Linked DNA regions of Xenopus tropicalis. The protein of the gene in region 1 binds, or shares a complex with, the protein of each later gene. Links are inferred from orthologs where the notes say so. Each region holds a gene or a part of one and is shown in the gene's direction. Other genes may lie near its edges.

Region 1 (9,522 bases):
CCCTTGTGATGGCATTTTTTCTAGAAGTGGGGCATTGGCCCAGGGTAGGAAGTTAGTAACTAGAATAACTGGAGATTCCAACTTTGTACCTCTCAATGATTCTACTGTTTGTTCAGGTGCTTATTTATATGTTTCAGTTCACCTATTCCAAGTCAATAAACAAACATTCTGCAGGGGAGCATGGGATCATTGTAGGAGTACTACAGTATGGCCCATACTGACCTATCTATACACTCACATACAGACCCATACTGACCTATCTATACACTCACATACAGACCCATACTGACCTATCTATACACTCACATACAGACCCATACTGACCTATCTATCCACTCACATACAGACCCATACTGACCTATCTATAGACTCACATACAGACCCATACTGACCTATCTATACACTCACATACAGACCCATACTGACCTATCTATACACTCACATACAGACCCATACTGACTTATCTATACACTCACATACAGACCCATACTGACCTATCTATACACTCACATACAGACCCACACTGACCTATCTATACACTCACATACAGACCCATACTGACCTATCTATACCCTCACATACAGACCCATACTGACCTATCTATACACTCACATACAGACCCATACTGTCCTATCTATACACTCACATACAGACCCATACTGACCTATCTATACACTCACATACAGACCCATACTGACCTATCTATACACTCACATACAGACCCATACTGACCTATCTATACACTCACATACAGACCCATACTGACCTATCTATACACTCACATACAGACCCATACTGACCTATCTATACACTCACATACAGACCCATACTGACCTATCTATACACTCACATACAGACCCATACTGACCTATCTATACACTCACATACAGACCCATACTGTCCTATATATACACTCACATACATAAACTATATATACCAACATCAATACTAACTGTAGATTTTAGTATCACAATAGCCTTGGATATTATGCTTATCCGAGAGCTGATTGTTTTTATGGGAAACAAGAACACCCCCTATCTGCCTATAATCCCCTTTAATGTACTTGTACAGAGTAATCATGTCCCCTAGTACTTCTCCAGAATTTGTTCATAAATCTCTGTCTGCTCTCCTCTATCATCCTATAGATTGAAAATTAGAGAATAAATGATAGAAAAAGTAATCATTTTATTGACACAGCAGTTACATGGTGTCCCTGGGCTGCAGAGGTCTCTCCTGATTGTTTTTCTATTACCAGCACCCACCTATGCAAGATGATAGATGACAGAACAAAACCAATTTCACAGGAGCAAATGATCAATAACTGTTCTGAACAGTGACCACAGGGTGGCATTATGGTACCGCAAGCTCTGTAGGAATAATACTTCTTTACTAACTTCTAGGATTAGATCAGGAATGTGTGTGTCTAAATATATTTAAGCACTTTACATTGTATCATAATATGTATAATTGTATCATAATATGACTATTTAACAAGCCTTCTGTACATTATTCCATGTACTGAGTAGGTAGAATGCAATTAAGTTACCCAATAAGCAGATATCCTTCCTAGGGTAATTGCACATGGGGTGTACTACCCACTGGCATATTTCAACTCGGGACCCAGTATTTTGGGATCCGACTGACCCCTGAATCCTTTGTGAAAGATTTGGGCAAATATTGAATGGAATCGGAATCCTTATTTGCATATAATAAGGCTATGGAAGGGTCAAAGAGAACCGCATTTGAAGCACACAGCTTCTGTGACAAAAAGTCAAGTGATTTTAGGGATTCGGATTTGGTTTGGCCAGGCACATGAATTCGGCTGAATCCAAATCCCAAACAAAAAACACCCATATCATATTAGCCTCTGCCTTTCCCCAAACCCCTTACAGCCAGGCCCGGATTTGTGGAGAGGCCACAAAGGCCCGGGCCTAGGGCGGCAGAAATCTGGGGGTGGCATGCCGCCCCGCCGCACAAAAATCTTTAAATGTGTGCTCCCATACGGAGCAAAGGGGACTTCTCCCCATTGCTCCGTATGCAAGTTGGCCCACGGCACATGCCCGCTTGCACCGCCCCCCCCTCCCGTTCGCGCACTACCGCTGGTCACGCACGCATGCGCACTCGGGGCGGGGGGGGGGGGGGGGCGTGCGACCGGGGGCGGCCTCTGGGCGGGCAGTTTTCAAATCCGGCCCTGCTTACAGCACTGGAACTGGCTGAAATACATAGGCAGAAAATATGCTCCATGGGCAGAAGCATTATTAATATCCCTTTTCCATAACAGATAGACAGAGCTAAAACATGCTGTGTTGAACCATCCATTTATTTGCCCAACATCAAGTGAACCATAATGGCGTATAAGTACATATTTATTCACTAATTTGCACTAGAAGGTGCAAACCCGCAGGCCAGGATCTGTGGCGAGGACACAAAGGCCTGTGCGGCCTAAATTTAGGGGTGGCATGCTGCCAAGCAACAAGTAAATTTTGCTCCCATATGGAGCACAGGGAACGAGACATGCAGAAAACTTCAGCACATCCCGTCCCCAGTGCTCTGTATGTATAGCATCAGCCTAGATGACCTATATTGGGTTTAGATATTATTATACTTACAGAATGAGGGGCCAATTTCTAAATCATATCTTTTCATGTTGGAGCCTTTGTGTACTGCTTGTAAAAAGATACTGATCTTTTTCCTATTTTGGATGCAGTAATACTGACATTTCATATAACATTCTCTATCAAGGCCATGGATAACCCAGCAGTAACGCATTGCCAATGTGTGCAACCGCAAACAGCTTCTTATAGGAGGCTGAGCAGTGCAGTGAGGCGATAGAGGACTTATGTATCTTGTCTGCTTTGTCCCAGCCGCTTCTAATCGTACTGATCCTGTGTTCGATACCCTGAGGGTAGGGGTCATTATGGCAAATAAAGAAAGAAAGAAAGGACAGGATGACAAGAAGAATGTAAGTAACCAGTATATGAGTTTAATGGAATTTTATGAATAGCAAATTAATACAAACTTAAGAGAAAATATACCCCCTTCTTGGTAAAAGCTCATTCAGTTGGGCTTATGTAGAAAAGATTAATACTGTCTGAACTTCCAGATATAAATATAAATGTATTTTTTCTATGCAAATAGACCTGATTCCACAGGTGGAAAGGAGCCCTTTAGAGGCGGGCCAAGTTGGCTGGGTGCCCTAGGCGACCCGGATGGCCACCTCACCCCCACCACTTCCCGCAAGGTGCGCAGACGCGGTGCAGGGGGGGAGCTGTTGGAGTAAGAGATCCAGGCCTAGGGGTTGGCAATGGAGCTACCTGCCTAACGCCCCCTCACTGCTGTGCCCTAGGCAGGTGCCTCTTCTGCCTGCCCCTAGTTCCGGACCTGAAGCCCATTATATCTGTTATTGCTTACAGCTAACAGTTCCCCATCCCTCTTAAGGCTAATGTCCCATGGGGAGATTAGTTGCTCGTGATAAATCTCTGCTACAATGGGCTACTAATCTTCCCGAAAAGCCTTTTTACTTGCAATAAAGGCAATCTCTGGTGAAAAGGCCTACTAACCTTTCCGTGGGACATTAGCCTAAGCTTACACATAAATAGAGATGTAGCGAACTGTTCGCTGTGCGAACATCGGGTGCAAAGTCCGCGAATATTCGCAAGTTTTGGCGTAAGTTCGCGAACGGGTCCACAAATTTTTTTTTTCAGGTTCGCTACATCCCTACACATAAAGCAACCCCACACTTGTTTCAATGTGAAGAGATAGATGCTGGGATTTGAAGTCCCTCTGGTTTAGTGGGTGGTGCACTGATTCTCTGGAAAGCAGATAAATTTTAAATGCCAAAATCTATCAATTCACAATGGAAGATGGGAAGAGTGGGGTTCCATTACATTGTGTGTCTAAGGGCTATGACAGATGGGGAGATTAGTCGGCGCGCTACAAATCTCCCTTGTCGCGGGCAACTAATCTCCCCAAAATGCCATCCCACCAGCTAGAATGTTAATCGCTGGTGGGATGGCATACGCGGTGCCGCAATTAGCCTAAGTAGTGGAAGTTGCCTTGAGAGGGTAGATTTGTCAAATTGTTTTTTTCTTAAGCAAATTCATTCACTCTTCCTACTCTCCTAGCATATTGCTGTATATTGCGTTCATCAAAGTTCCTTCATGTTCTACGGCAGGGGTGGGCGTACGTATGCATTCACGCAGCACTTCTGCATCCCCGGCTTGATCGCAGTCCACCAGAAATCCACAGGGGAACGACTGGTGGACAGCGAATGACGTATTGGCCACCCCTGTTCTAGGGACAATATTCAAGGCAATTTTACCAAAGTGAAACTTTTCAATCACCTCTCTATCAACTTTTATTTTTCTATAGAACTTGTTGTGACTGATTAAATCTGTTGTTAACCATTAAATAAGGTATAGTCCTTATACAGACCATCAGTGTTTTATATTTTAACTTATGTGTTTATGGTTAACAACAGGTATTATGCGGTAACACATCATCACATATTACACAGTGGTACAATAGTAAGTCATTAGAAGGATTAGATTAGATACCATTACCAGTTTAGAACGAAAATTTATTGTAAAATGGAGAGACTAAGTATTCTGCTTTATCTAGCCAATGCTTGAAGAGGAACCCGAGGAACTTCCACCAAAACCAGAAGAGAAACAGGAAGGAGGTGAGAGCAACACCAATTTTCAGAAGAGTCAAGGAGGGTCATTTCTCAACACTGGGAAAAATTGCCCATGGGCAGTAACCTATGGCAACCGATCAAATTGTTCTACATGCAACTGTCTGAAAAAATCCAATCATTGATTGGTTGCTATGGGTTACTGCCCATGGGCAAATTTTCCCAGTACTGATAAATGAGAACCCTTGGTGTCAGTACTTACAGTGTATTGAACTTCCAACTCTTCAAGCCTCTAACTTCCCTTCCCAGTAGCTGACGGCTCTCTGGGGATGCTAGGAGCGACAGTTTGAGAGTTGTTAGTTTGCAGATTGGCCATGACATAACGTGCCTGCTATGCTATCATCTTGATTTCTTCTTTTGATAACTTTGGCGGCCCTATCATACATCTGTTCAGCAATGATGGCAGTTAAGTAATTTAACAGTAATAGCTGTTTTCTGTAATATTATCCCGATGGGAAGGTTGGAGTTTCAATCTCACCGAAGGTCAATTTACTTTTTTCTTCTCTCATAGAACATAATGAGCACCAGTTATAAATAAGTAAATATAATTCCAGGACCAGTGTGTTATTTGTCTCTGAAAAGAAACATGAGGTATTCGAATGAACTGTGCATCGTAAGTGCAGCCTTTCATGGACTCACATGATCTCTTGTTTGATTCTAGACGTGCCTGACGGGGACAAGAAGGGTGAAAAAGGTGGACAGGATGCTAAGGTATTCATTAGAATGTTCAGTAGGCGGTACTAATAAAGCTTTACCTTATAAATGACACGTTCTTGCACCCAAGAGTTTATGTTGATGCTGTCCATAAATATAGTTTAGACTGTACAGCTACTGAAATCCCTGCCACTATATGTTATTCACTGGAGCTAATTATTTCATTTGACACTCAATACTCAAAGGAGATTGGGAAATGTGGTCACAGTGAGGTCTACCTGTAATAACCTCCTTGGAGCGTCGTTAAATATCTCTAGTATTGCTGACAGACAGGACTTACCACCCAATCTTATAAATGGATCTGTCTGGCATACCCACAGTTAGAGACAAAGTGGCCAAGTCAGGAACAGAATAGAGGAAGCAGGAGCATAATTTAAATACAAAGGTTCAGGGTAGGCAGAGTTTGTATGGGGAGCATCATCAGAATGGAAAGTCATCAAGAAATTCCAAGAAAGAGACCAACAGTGAGCAGAAAGATACTGTGTTAATGGGGTTTATAAAGCTCGCAAGGTTCAAAAATATCTAAATTTAAGCTTTTTTGGCATTTATCAATCATTTTACTGCGTATGAAACAGGGAGTAAAACGGCACTATATCCTAAAGTGGTATCACATTAAAGGGGTTGTTCATCTTTGAGTTATCTTTTAGTATAATGTACAGAGTAATATTCTGAGACAATTTGCAACTGGTCTTCATTTTTTATTATTTGTAGTTTTTTTTTTAACTATTTCAATTTTTGTTCAGCTGATCTCCAGTTTGGAGTTTCAGCAGTTACTTGTTTGCTAGGGTCCAAATTACCTTAGCAACCAAGGAGTGGTTTGAATGAGAGACTTATAAAATGTAAGAATAACAATAATTTTGTAGCCTCAGGGGGCAATAGTTTTTTGGCTGCTGGGGTCAGTGACCCCCATTTGAAAGCTTGAAAGATGCAGCAGAGGAAGGCAAATAATTAAAAAACTATAACAAAATAAATAATGAAGACCAGTTGAAAAGTTGCTTAAAATCAGACATTGTATAAGATACTAAAAGTTAACTTAAGGGTGAACAACCCCTGAAACTAGACAAGGATTACCACCAGCCCAATGAAACAACTGGAAAATTATGTAATCACCAAGTACTGAATCCAGTTTTTCTGGATGTGGCCAAATACCGAATCTACCACAAAAGTTCTAGATAAATACAATACAGAATCTATACCCTACGTTGCATATACAAACATTGTATCCAAAACAAATGCACAATTCAGTAATTCTGTTAGCATTTTGCTAAATACAAATCCTAGATTCAGTGTATCTTCGGTCATTACGTCAGTGGGACAGGCACACAGACAGCCCCTTATAACAACTGCTTTGTCACATACATATAGTATATATAGTGGCTGTGATCCTAGACAACCCCCAAAATTGTACTCCCCTGTAAATCTGAGCATCCTTTGGCACACAGCAGTATAAAGTATAACTTAGTAGTGGTCCCATTCATTTTTATGCCATTTAGTAACAAGGAGAAGATATATAACTTTGCGCACATGGACTAAACCATCTAATCCATCTTACCTTTTCAAAGTGTATTGTACATTTTAATTGTAATTGTCCAAGTGCTTGGAGTGCAGAACGCAGTAAATATTGCATTGTGTATAGATATCCTATTCTGTTGCCTGTCGGATAGTGCCAGGAATATTTAGCTGATTTGTTTTCTTCTTGAGCTGCTGGATTTTGTTCTCAGCATCAGAGAATGTTTCATTGTGTGGCTGATAACTCTGCGAAAAAATTTAAGATTTACGTTTTTTAGACAGCAGGTTCCCTCTTTAGTTCATGTTCCTTTAAAACCAAAATATTGTAAAATTCTTGCAGGCAGAAATGGTTCCCTTAGTTTGCTAAACATGAAAAACAAACAAAAACATAAACGCTGTCGCCATTGTTATTATCTATTGGTATATCCAGATATTGATGGTATTTATTTATGTGGACTGATAAATCTTACAAACACATCATTTTTACTGTGCTTTACATGTGGAAGATAAACTATTCTAAGGGTCATTTACTCCGACCCTGGACACAAGGCCTAGAGCACTAAGGGGTGCAAATGTGCACCACGTCAACTACTGACACACTGATTCTTGGTCTGCAGATAAATGAAGGCAAGGAAGCAACCCCTACACTTGCCTCAGCCTTTCCCTGTGCCTACACTTTTTCAGAAATGAATTCATTTTTTGCGCAGCTTTACCTTTCTGCTTCTTTCCATTTGTGGTTATAGAATAAGAAGGCGCAGCCTGGGTTCATGCAGTCCCATTATTTTGTCGCTTTGTATCGCTTCAAAGCCCTGGAGAAGGATGATCTAGATTTTCAGTGAGTATAGCCTTGCTGGCTAGTATAGTCTCATACAGCTATTCTCTAATTTGTGCCCCATGTGAGAGTCATAAACAGAAAGTGCCTTGCTATTTATGTAGTTCCTCAAAGGGTAAAAATGATGCTCAGGGAACTTTGTAAGCACTTTTCCAATTGACCTTGATCATTTTTTTTAAGTTTTAGAGCTGTTAAGCTATTTATTGGTAATATAATGTGCTACCTGCTGGTCAGTTGCTCTGACTGTATGGTGGTAAAGATATATGTTCAGAAGGAAAACAGAAAACTGTTCTAATGTTGCTTTGTGTAGGAAAGAAGCACAAACCTCAGATAACTTTGCAGATTGACCCAGTTTCAGCAAATTAGCCCAAGTGTTTGGAGGGAGTATAGGCTTCTATAGGTATGGGATCCATTATTCAGAAACCTGTTATCTAGAAAGTTCCAAATTATTGGTTAGCCATCTCCCATAGACTCCATTTTAAGCAAATAATTCATATTTAAAAATAAAATCCTTTTTCTTATAATCCTAAATTATAACCTAATCCCAACTAAAATATAATTAATCCTTATTGGAAGCAAAATAATCCTAATGGGTTTAATTAATGTTTGGAGGTCCAAATTATGGAAAGATCCCTTATCCATTAAACCGCAGGTCCCAAGCATTCTGAATAATAAATCTCATACTTACTCTCATAATTCAAGATGTAAGGGCAATTTGATAAATGTTTATTACTAATTTAATATGTGTACATTCTATTTAGTAAAGGTTTCATGCTCTGTTTTTGGATTGTGAAAGTAATATCCCATAATAATATCCCCTAGGAAGGAATATCCCATAATAATATCCCCTAGAAAGGAATATCCCATGATAATATCCCCTAGAAAGGAATATCCCATGATAATATCCCCTAGGAAGGAATATCCCATAATAATATCCCCTAGAAAGGAATATCCCATAATAATATCCCCTAGAAAGGAATATCCCATGATAATATCCCCTAGGAAGGAATATGCCATGATAATATCCCCTAGAAATGAATAGCCCATGATAATATCCCCTAGGAAGGAATATCCCATGATAATATCCCCTAGAAAGGAATATCCCATAATAATATCCCCTAGAAAGGAATATCCCATGATAATATCCCCTAGAAAGGAATATCCCATAATAATATCCCCTAGAAAGGAATATCCCATGATAATATCCCCTAGAAAGGAATATCCCATGATAATATCCCCTAGAAAGGAATATCCCATAATAATATCCCCTAGAAAGGAATATCCCATGATAATATCCCCTAGGAAGGAATAGCCCATGATAATATCCCCTAGAAAGGAATATCCCATGATAATATCCCCTAGAAAGGAATATCCCATGATAATATCCCCTAGAAAGGAATATCCCATGATAATATCCCCTAGAAAGGAATATCCCATGATAATATCCCCTAGAAAGGAATATCCCATGATAATATCCCCTAGGAAGGAATAGCCCATGTCTTGTCCCTGAATTTCCTTGCACATTATTGTTTTCACAGAGCTGGGGAAAGAATCACCGTAATAGATGACTCCAATGAAGAATGGTGGAGGGTAAGTAATAAAAATACAGTTGTCCTTGTACAAACGGCAAATTCAGCAAAGTAAACATTGTGACACATAGAAATACTTCCAGCCCAGGCCAATTCTGCCTTAAATATAAATAGTGATGAGTGAATTTTTTTTGTGAAACAGCCGCAAAAATTCACAGAGTAAGGAAAAAGTTACGGTCACATCA
Region 2 (10,186 bases), on another chromosome or scaffold:
ACCCCCCCCATACAGACACCCCCTCCCATACAGACACCCCCCCCCATACAGACACCCCCCCCATACAGACACCCCCTCCCATACAGACACCCCCTCCCATACAGACACCCCCTCCCATACAGACACCCCCCCCATACAGACACCCCCTCCCATACAGACACCCCCCCCATACAGACACCCCCCCCATACAGACACCCCCCCCATACAGACACCCCCCCCATACAGAGACCCCCCCCATACAGACACCCCCCCCCATACAGACACCCCCCCCCATACAGACACCCCCCCCATACAGACACCCCCCCCCATACAGACACCCCCCCCATACAGAGACACCCCCCCCATACAGACACCCCACAAACCTCCCCTCTCTCCCTGTGAATCAGACCCCGCCCCCCTCTGAGTCAGACCTCCCTCACAGGCACAAAGCCCGCCCCTTCCCCAGTGTAAATGACAGGGTGCTCTCTCCTCACACATAAATAAGAAATAAACTTTTCCTTCCACCTCCACCAAGTCACACAAACCCGCACAGACTCCTCCCTTACAGCCGGCACTGCAGGGCCCAAAAAGCCATAGCTTTTCCCTCACACACTGGCCCCTCCCCCTACCTGTGTGTAGGTACACTAACCTCCCTCACAGGACATGCTGCAGCAGGGGCGGGATCAGAGGCAGATTGACAGGAGATGCAGCCAATTGGAGTTAAGCTGAGGAAATGGGCCTGTTCACCTTCAGTGTCCAAATCATTTTAAACCATTAACAGTGCTCTCAGCGTGTCAGAATATCCATTCTATTAAAAAAAAAGTAAAAAGGCCGGGGTAAAAGCTACTTATTATATGTTACCCCTCAGTAACTGCTAATATCCTTATCATTTACAGTAGGGGGTACAGTATCCCTTATAATACATGAGTGATACTCAGAGTTCCCTGTATAACTCAGCCTGCAGCCTTGTGCCTTTATATGGGGGGCACAGAACCCCTCAGTGACTGCTAATATCCTTATCATTTACAGTAGGGGGTACATTATCCCTTATAATACATGAGTGATACTCAGAGTTCCCTGTATAACTCAGCCTGCAGCCTTGTGCCTTTATATGGGGGGCACAGAACCCCTCAGTGACTGCTAATATCCTTATCATTTACAGTAGGGGGTACAGTATCCCTTATAATACATGAGTGATACTCAGAGTTCCCTGTATAACTCAGCCTGCAGCCTTGTGCCTTTATATGGGGGGCACAGAACCCCTCAGTGACTGCTAATATCCTTATCATTTACAGTAGGGGGTACAGTATCCCTTATAATACATGAGTGATACTCAGAGTTCCCTGTATAACTCAGCCTGCAGCCTTGTGCCTTTATATGGGGGGCACAGAGCCCCTCAGTGACTGCTAATATCCTTATCATTTACAGTAGGGGGTACATTATCCCTTATAATACATGAGTGATACTCAGAGTTCCCTGTATAACTCAGCCTGCAGCCTTGTGCCTTTATATGGGCACAGAACCCCTCAGTGACTGCTAATATCCTTATCATTTACAGTAGGGGGTACATTATCCCTTATAATACATGAGTGATACTCAGAGTTCCCTGTATAACTCAGCCTGCAGCCTTGTGCCTTTATATGGGGGCACAGAACCCCTCAGTGACTGCTAATATCCTTATCATTTACAGTAGGGGGTACATTATCCCTTATAATACATGAGTGATACTCAGAGTTCCCTGTATAACTCAGCCTGCAGCCTTGTGCCTTTATATGGGGGGCACAGAACCCCTCAGTGACTGCTAATATCCTTATCATTTACAGTAGGGGGTACATTATCCCTTATAATACATGAGTGATACTCAGAGTTCCCTGTATAACTCAGCCTGCAGCCTTGTGCCTTTATATGGGCACAGAACCCCTCAGTGACTGCTAATATCCTTATCATTTACAGTAGGGGGTACATTATCCCTTGTTGTTCTTCCTTCTCCCCAGTGGGGCCCCCCTGCTTGAGCTCAATGGCAGGTAAAAGGCAAATGTGCTTCTCTTGTAGCTGATTGTACTACGCAGGGGCCCCCCGCTGTGTCTAGGGGTGCAGGAAATATAAGGGAAATTATCGGTTGCAGTACCAGGTCTCACCACTAGCAGCCAACATCCTGTATTTCCCATAGGGCTACAGCACAACAGCGCCACTGCCTGTAAATCTGGGCATCACCTGACCCTCCAGCTTCTGTAAGTGGCCAATCATAGGGCGCAATCCCTCAGCTGTCAGACGAGAGGGTGGGGGGTGAGTCAGGGACTGGGGGGTTTTGGGGTGAGTCAGGGACTGGGGGGTTTTGGGGTGAGTCAGGGACTGGGGGGTTTTGGGGTGAGTCAGGGACTGGGGGGTTTTGGGGTGAGTCAGGGACTGGGGGGTTTTGGGGTGAGTCAGGGACTGGGGGTTTTTGGGGTGAGTCAGGGACTGGGGGTTTTTGGGGTGAGTCAGGGATTGGGGGGTTTTGGGGTGAGTCAGGGACTGGGGGGTTTTGGGGTGAGTCAGGGATTGGGGGGTTTTGGGGTGAGTCAGGGACTGGGGGGTTTTGGGGTGAGTCAGGGACTGGGGGGTTTTGGGGTGAGTCAGGGATTGGGGGGTTTTGGGGTGAGTCAGGGACTGGGGGGTTTTGGGGTGAGTCAGGGATTGGGGGTTTTGGGGTGAGTCAGGGACTGGGGGGTTTTGGGGTGAGTCAGGGACTGGGGGGTTTTGGGGTGAGTCAGGGATTGGGGGGTTTTGGGGTGAGTCAGGGACTGGGGGGTTTTGGGGTGAGTCAGGGACTGGGGGGTTTTGGGGTGAGTCAGGGACTGGGGGGTTTTGGGGCGAGTCAGGGACTGGGGGGTTTTGGGGTGAGTCAGGGATTGGGGGTTTTGGGGTGAGTCAGGGACTGGGGGGTTTTGGGGTGAGTCAGGGACTGGGGGGTTTTGGGGTGAGTCAGGGACTGGGGGGTTTTGGGGTGAGTCAGGGACTGGGGGGTTTTGGGGTGAGTCAGGGACTGGGGGGTTTTGGGGTGAGTCAGGGACTGGGGGGTTTTGGGGTGAGTCAGGGATTGGGGGGTTTTGGGGTGAGTCAGGGACTGGGGGGTTTTGGGGCGAGTCAGGGACTGGGGGGTTTTGGGGTGAGTCAGATGTTCCTGGGAGTCGGATTCCCTAACTGTGGGTGCTGTAGCTCAGGAGTCGCAATGGATTCGCTTCACTTGTCCCATCGCATCAGTCGCAGATTCCTTTCTGCTGTTTAAAGGACAAGTAAACCCAAAGTGTTCATTCCTTTTGCTGAAATGGGGCCCAGCCTTTGCCCAGGGAAGCACATTGGCCCACGTTTCACTCCAACTTCAGTTCCCCCCTTAACCCCCGACTGGGCCAGCGGGAGAAACTAAGTCCCAGGGCTGATGGGGGGGGGGGGGGGATTTACTCACATTAACACCTCGACCACTGAGAGGCCTATTGTTACTGGCCCATCCCGCTGCCCCCCGGCCAATCACATCTTCTACACTCAGAACTACCGCATCCGATTGGCCTAATCTGGGCCCCAAAACATTAAGGAACATTAAGTGGATATTGGGGAGTGCAGAGTTCCCCTTTAATAAACTGCATGGTGTCACTTTACATGGTACTGTGCCCCCCCCCCCCCCAATCCTGCATAAAGCAATGAGGGGGTTGATAGTGACTTGGTGCAAGAGGCTGAAAGGAGCAAAGGCTAGTACAGGGGCAGTATGGGGCAGTTGGGGTAGGAGCAGGGGCATTATGGGGCAGTTGGGGTAGGAGCAGGGGCAGTATGGGGCAGTTGGGGTAGGATGGGGCAGTTGATCAATAGTAGGGGCAGGACGGGGCAGTTGGGCTAGGAGCAGGGGCAGTATGGGGCAGTTGGGGTAGGACGGGGCAGTTGATCAATAGTAGGGGCAGGACAGGGCAGTTGGGCTAGGGGCAGTATGGGGCAGTTGGGGTAGAAGCAGGGGCAGTATGGGACAGTTGGGGTAGGAGCAGGGGCAGTATGGGACAGTTGGGGTAGGAGCAGGGGCAGTATGGGACAGTTGGGGTAGGAGCAGGGGCAGTATGGGACAGTTGGGGTAGGAGCAGGGGCAGTATGGGACAGTTGGGGTAGGAGCAGGGGCAGTATGGGACAGTTGGGGTAGGAGCAGGGGCAGTATGGGACAGTTGGGGTAGGAGCAGGGGCAGTATGGGACAGTTGGGGTAGGAGCAGGGGTAGGGGCAGGGGCAGTATGGGACAGTTGGGGTAGGAGCAGGGGCAGTATGGAGCAGTTGGGGGGGGGGTATGGGCAGTTGGGTAGGATGGGCAGTTGATCAATAGTAGGGCAGGACGGGGCAGTTGGGCTAGGAGCAGGGGCAGTATGGGGCAGTTGGGCTAGGACGGGGCAGTTGATCAATAGCAGGGGCAGTATGGGCAGTTGGGGTAGGAGCAGGGGCAGTATGGGACAGTTGGGGTAGGAGCAGGGGCAGCATGGGACAGTTGGGGTAGGAGCAGGGCAGTATGTGGCAGTTGGGGTAGGAGCAGGGGCAGTATGGGGGCAGTTGGGTAGGAGCAGGGGCAGTATGTGGCAGTTGGGGTAGGAGGCAGGGGCAGCATGGGACAGTTGGGTAGGAGCAGGGGCAGTATGGGGCAGTTGGGGTAGGAGCAGGGGCAGTATGGGGCAGTTGGGGTAGGAGCAGGGGCAGTATGGGGCAGTTGGGTAGGACGGGGCAGTTGGGGTAGGAGCAGGGGCAGTATGGGGCAGTTGGGGTAGGAGCAGGGGCAGTATGGGGCAGTTGGGGTAGGAGCAGGGGCAGTATGGGGCAGGATGGGGCAGTTGGGGTAGGAGCAGGGGCAGTATGGGGCAGTTGGGGTAGGAGCAGGGGCAGTATGGGGCAGTTGGGGTAGGATCAGGGGCAGTATGGGGCAGTTGGGGTAGGACGGGGCAGTTGATCAATAGCAGGGGGTTGTGCAACTATCAGAGTGACAGGAGGGACGGGGGAAGTTGCGACACTTGGAGTGAAGGTGGCACCCCCCCCCCGCTCCGTGTATTAATAAGCCCCCCCCGCCCCCCCACCCATGTCTGTGCCCAGTTGGTGACTGATCCCAACAGCTGCTCCCGGGCCCGGCCCATCCCAGTCTCCCCCAGTGTCGGCCCCAGTAGCACAAGGAGCCACAGAGCAGAGGGAGTAGACTGAGCGCTCACTAGCCAAGGGCCCCAGCCAGTAGCCATGAAGGAGCTGAAGGTGCTGAAGATCCGGGTCACGTCCTGTATCGCCCTGGTGGGCATCTCGCTCATGTTGGCGGCCGTAATGAGCGACCACTGGGCCGTACTGAGCCCCAAACTGGACGACGACACCCAGTCCTGCGAGGTGGCCCACTTTGGCCTATGGAGGCTGTGTAAGAAGAAGATTTTCATGAGTGATCAGGAGACTATGATCAAGGGATGTGGCCCCCTGAGCCTTCCTGGGGGTAAGTAAGTCAGGGTAACCAGGCAACAAAGATTCTTTCCCCAACTTGCCCCCCAAATTCTGATTCCAGGGTTCCCATTTCATCTGGGGGCCAACCTGTAACTGTTCCACATAGGGGGGCTGGAGTGTGGGGGCCGGGGGGGCCCTACTTAATGAACAATTGATATTGGTTCCTTATTGCCGTTGGGCACTCACTGGGTAGGTCCCTTGGGCGCTCACTGGGTAGGACCTCAGGGCGCTCACTGGGTAGGACCTCAGCCGGGCACACTGGGTAGGACCCTTGGGCACTCACTGGGTAGGACCCTTGGGCGCTCACTGGGTAGGACCCTTGGGCGCTCACTGGGTAGGACCCTTGGGCGCTCACTGGGTAGGACCCTTGGGCGCTCACTGGGTAGGTCCGTTGGGCGCTCACTGGGTAGGACCTCAGGGCGCTCACTGGGTAGGACCCTTGGGCGCTCACTGGGTAGGACCTCAGGGCGCTCACTGGGTAGGACCTCAGGGCGCTCACTGGGTAGGACCTCAGGGCGCTCACTGGGTAGGACCTCAGGGCGCTCACTGGGTAGGTCCATTGGGCGCTCACTGGGTAGGACCTCAGGGCGCTCACTGGGTAGGACCTCAGGGCGCTCACTGGGTAGGACCATTGGGCGCTCACTGGGTAGGACCATTGGGCGCTCACTGGGTAGGACCTCAGGGCGCTCACTGGGAAGGACCTCAGGGCGCTCACTGGGTAGGACCTCAGGGCGCTCACTGGGTAGGACCTCAGGGCGCTCACTGGGTAGGACCTCAGGGCGCTCACTGGTAGGACGATTGGGCGCTCACTGGGTAGGACCTCAGGGCGCTCACTGGGTAGGACCTCAGGGCGCTCACTGGGTAGGACCTCAGGGCGCTCACTGGGTAGGACCTCAGGGCGCTCACTGGGTAGGACCTCAGGGCGCTCACTGGGTAGGACCTCAGGGCGCTCACTGGGTAGGACCTCAGGGCGCTCACTGGGTAGGACGATTGGGCGCTCACTGGGTAGGACCTCAGGGCGCTCACTGGGTAGGACCTCAGGGCGCTCACTGGGTAGGACCTCAGGGCGCTCACTGGGTAGGACCTCAGGGCGCTCACTGGGTAGGACCTCAGGGCGCTCACTGGGTAGGACCGTTAGGCACTCACTGGTAGGACCTCAGGGCGCTCACTGGGTAGGACCTCTGGGCGCTCACTGGGTAGGACCGTTAGGCACTCACTGGTAGGACCTCAGGGCGCTCACTGGGTAGGACCTCTGGGCGCTCACTGGGTAGGACCTCAGGGCACTCACTGGGTAGGACCTCAGGGCACTCACTGGGTAGGACCTCAGGGCACTCACTGGGTAGGACCTCAGGGCGCTCACTGGGTAGGACCTCAGGGCGCTCACTGGGTAGGACCTCAGGGCGCTCACTGGGTAGGACCTCAGGGCGCTCACTGGGTAGGACCTCAGGGCACTCACTGGGTAGGACCGTTGGGCACTCACTGGGTAGGACCGTTGGGCACTCACTGGGTAGGACCTCAGGGCACTCACTGGGTAGGACCATATGGCAATCCGCTGGCCTATGAGGCTCAGTATACCAAGGCAGGACCATCTATCACTGGTGCGGGGGGAGTAGGGCCCATGGATTATAGGAGGGGCCACCTCTGTCTGCAGCCCCCCCACACTCATGGGTCTGCCCCCACCCAGTGGCCCCATGTGTGGTGATTCAGGTGATGCCCCTCCCCAGTATCTGGTCACTGGGGGTAAGAGGCAGAGCAAGGGACCCCCTAAACTTCTCCCTGCCCTCTACCCCATATTTCCTACCCCTATGGGGGGTTGTTAGTGATCACTGGGCAGAGGGAAATACATAAAGTATGTATGTAAATAGGTATGTATGTATGTAAATAGGTATGTATGTAAATAGGTATGTATGTAAATAGGTAAGTATGTATGTAAATAGGTATGTATGTATGTAAATAGGTATGTATGTATGTAAATAGGTATGTATGTAAATAGGTATGTATGTAAATAGGTATGTATGTAGGTAAATAGGTATGTATGTATGTAAATAGGTATGTATGTATGTAAATAGGTATGTATGTAAATAGGTATGTATGTAAATAGGTATGTATGTAGGTAAATAGGTATGTATGTATGTAAATAGGTATGTATGTAGGTAAATAGGTATGTATGTAGGTAAATAGGTATGTATGTATGTAAATAGGTATGTATGTATGTAAATAGGTATGTATGTATGTAAATAGGTATGTATGTAGGTAAATAGGTATGTATGTATGTAAATAGGTATGTATGTAGGTAAATAGGTATGTATGTAAATAGGTATGTATGTATGTAAATAGGTATGTATGTAAATAGGTATGTATGTATGTAAATAGGTATGTATGTAGGTAAATAGGTATGTATGTATGTAAATAGGTATGTATGTATGTATGTAAATAGGTATGTATGTAAATAGGTATGTATGTAAATAGGTATGTATGTAGGTAAATAGGTATGTATGTAGGTAAATAGGTATGTATGTATGTAAATAGGTATGTATGTAGGTAAATAGGTATGTATGTAGGTAAATAGGTATGTATGTAGGTAAATAGGTATGTATGTAGGTAAATAGGTATGTATGTAGGTATAATTTGTGTACAAATTGTAGCCAAATATTGCTTCTAGCTGCTATGTAGCCTTTAAACCAATGAATCACTTCCATGTGAGTGCTACTGAGCTGGGGTTTGAGCTAAAGGTGCAATAGGTCTCACTACTCACTCACATTGTTTCCTGGGGGACTTTATTTTAATTGCATCACAGACTCAAAGTCATTAGACAGTGTAGGACTCGCGTATAATGAGGGGCCTTGACGCGGCACGTGAGCTTACATATTTTGGCCAAAGTGTGGTACTAACACCTCATTTTTTGTAAAAATTATTTTTAAAGGCAAACTAAGCGCTGGCAAACTTTCTTTCTCTATGTATGTAGGTATGTATGTATGTAAATAGGTATGTATGTAAATATGTATGTATGTAAATAGGTATGTATGTAAATATGTATGTATGTAAATAGGTATGTATGTAAATATGTATGTATGTAAATAGGTATGTATGTAAATAGGTATGTATGTAAATATGTATGTATGTATGTAAATATGTATGTATGTAAATAGGTATGTATGTAAATAGGTATGTATGTAAATAGGTATGTATGTAAATAGGTATGTATGTAAATATGTATGTATGTAAATAGGTATGTATGTAAATATGTATGTAAATAGGTATGTATGTAAATATGTATGTATGTATGTATGTAAATAGGTTTGTATGTAAATAGGTATGTATGTACGTAAATATGTATGTAAATAGGTATGTATGTACGTAAATATGTATGTAAATAGGTTTGTATGTATGTAAATAGGTTTGTATGTATGTAAATAGGTATGTACGTACGTAAATATGTATGTCTGTATGTAAATAGGTATGTATGTAAATAGGTTTGTATGTATGTTAATAGGTATGTACGTACGTAAATATGTATGTCTGTATGTAAATAGGTATGTTTGTACGTAAATAGGTATGTATGTAACTAGGTATGTATGTACATAAATATGTATGTAAATAGGTTTGTATGTATGTAAATAGGTATGTATGTACATAAATATGTATGTAAATAGGTATGTATGTAAATAGGTATGTATGCACATAAATATGTATGTAAATAGGTATGTATGTAAATAGGTATGTAAATAGGTATGTAAATAGGTATGTATGTAAATAGGTATGTATGTAAATAAGTATGTATGTACATAAATATGTATGTAAATAGGTTTGTATGTATGTAAATAGGTATGTATGTAAATATGTACGTATGTAAATAGGTTTATCTGTATGTAAATAGGTATGTACGTAAATATGTATGTCTGTATGTAAATAGGTATGTATGTAAATAGGTATGTATGTAAATAGGTTTGTATGTATGTAAATAGGTATGTACGTATGTAAATATGTATGTCTGTATGTAAATAGGTATGTACGTACGTAAATATGTATGTCTGTATGTAAATAGGTATGTATGTAAATAGGTATGTATGTAAATAGGTTTGTATGTATGTAAATAGGTATGTACGTATGTAAATATGTATGTATGTAAATATGTACGTATGTAAATAGGTTTATCTGTATGTAAATAGGTATGTACGTAAATATGTATGTCTGTATGTAAATAGGTATGTATGTAAATATGTACGTATGTAAATAGGTTTATCTGTATGTAAATAGGTATGTACGTAAATATGTATGTCTGTATGTAAATAGGTATGTATGTAAATAGGTATGTATGTAAATAGGTTTGTATGTATGTAAATAGGTATGTACGTATGTAAATATGTATGTCTGTATGTAAATAGGTATGTACGTACGTAAATATGTATGTCTGTATGTAAATAGGTATGTATGTAAATAGGTATGTATGTAAATATGTATGTAAATAGGTTTGTATGTATGTAAATAGGTATGTATGCAAATAGGTATGTATGTACGTAAATAGGTATGTATGTAAATAGGTATGTATGTACGTAAATATGTATGTAAATAGGTTTGTATGTATGTAAATAGGTATGTATGTACGTAAATATGTATGTCTGTATGTAAATAGGTATGTATGTAAATAGGTACGTATGTAAATAGGTTTATCTGTATGTAAATAGGTATGTACGTAAATATGTATGTCTGTATGTAAATAGGTATGTATG

Evidence for each region. The genes of interacting proteins can lie anywhere in the genome.
Region 2: stac3 (region 1) and cacng1 share a complex: the UniProt entries of both Homo sapiens proteins name them as parts of the calcium channel complex. The link is inferred for Xenopus tropicalis from reciprocal best matches to the Homo sapiens genes STAC3 and CACNG1.

The regions. Positions count from the first base shown.
Region 1 is NC_030678.2:140,048,070-140,057,591, reverse strand, and holds part of stac3 (SH3 and cysteine-rich domain-containing protein 3), read left to right. Parts: intron 1-2,864; coding exon 2,865-2,962; intron 2,963-4,620; coding exon 4,621-4,681; intron 4,682-5,354; coding exon 5,355-5,404; intron 5,405-7,659; coding exon 7,660-7,751; intron 7,752-9,286; coding exon 9,287-9,338; intron 9,339-9,522. UniProt on the Homo sapiens protein: Required for normal excitation-contraction coupling in skeletal muscle and for normal muscle contraction in response to membrane depolarization. Required for normal Ca(2+) release from the sarcplasmic reticulum, which ultimately leads to muscle contraction.
Region 2 is NC_030686.2:51,093,217-51,103,402, forward strand, and holds the start of cacng1 (voltage-dependent calcium channel gamma-1 subunit), read left to right. Parts: upstream 1-5,150; 5' UTR 5,151-5,207; coding exon 5,208-5,448; intron 5,449-10,186. UniProt on the Homo sapiens protein: Regulatory subunit of the voltage-gated calcium channel that gives rise to L-type calcium currents in skeletal muscle. Regulates channel inactivation kinetics.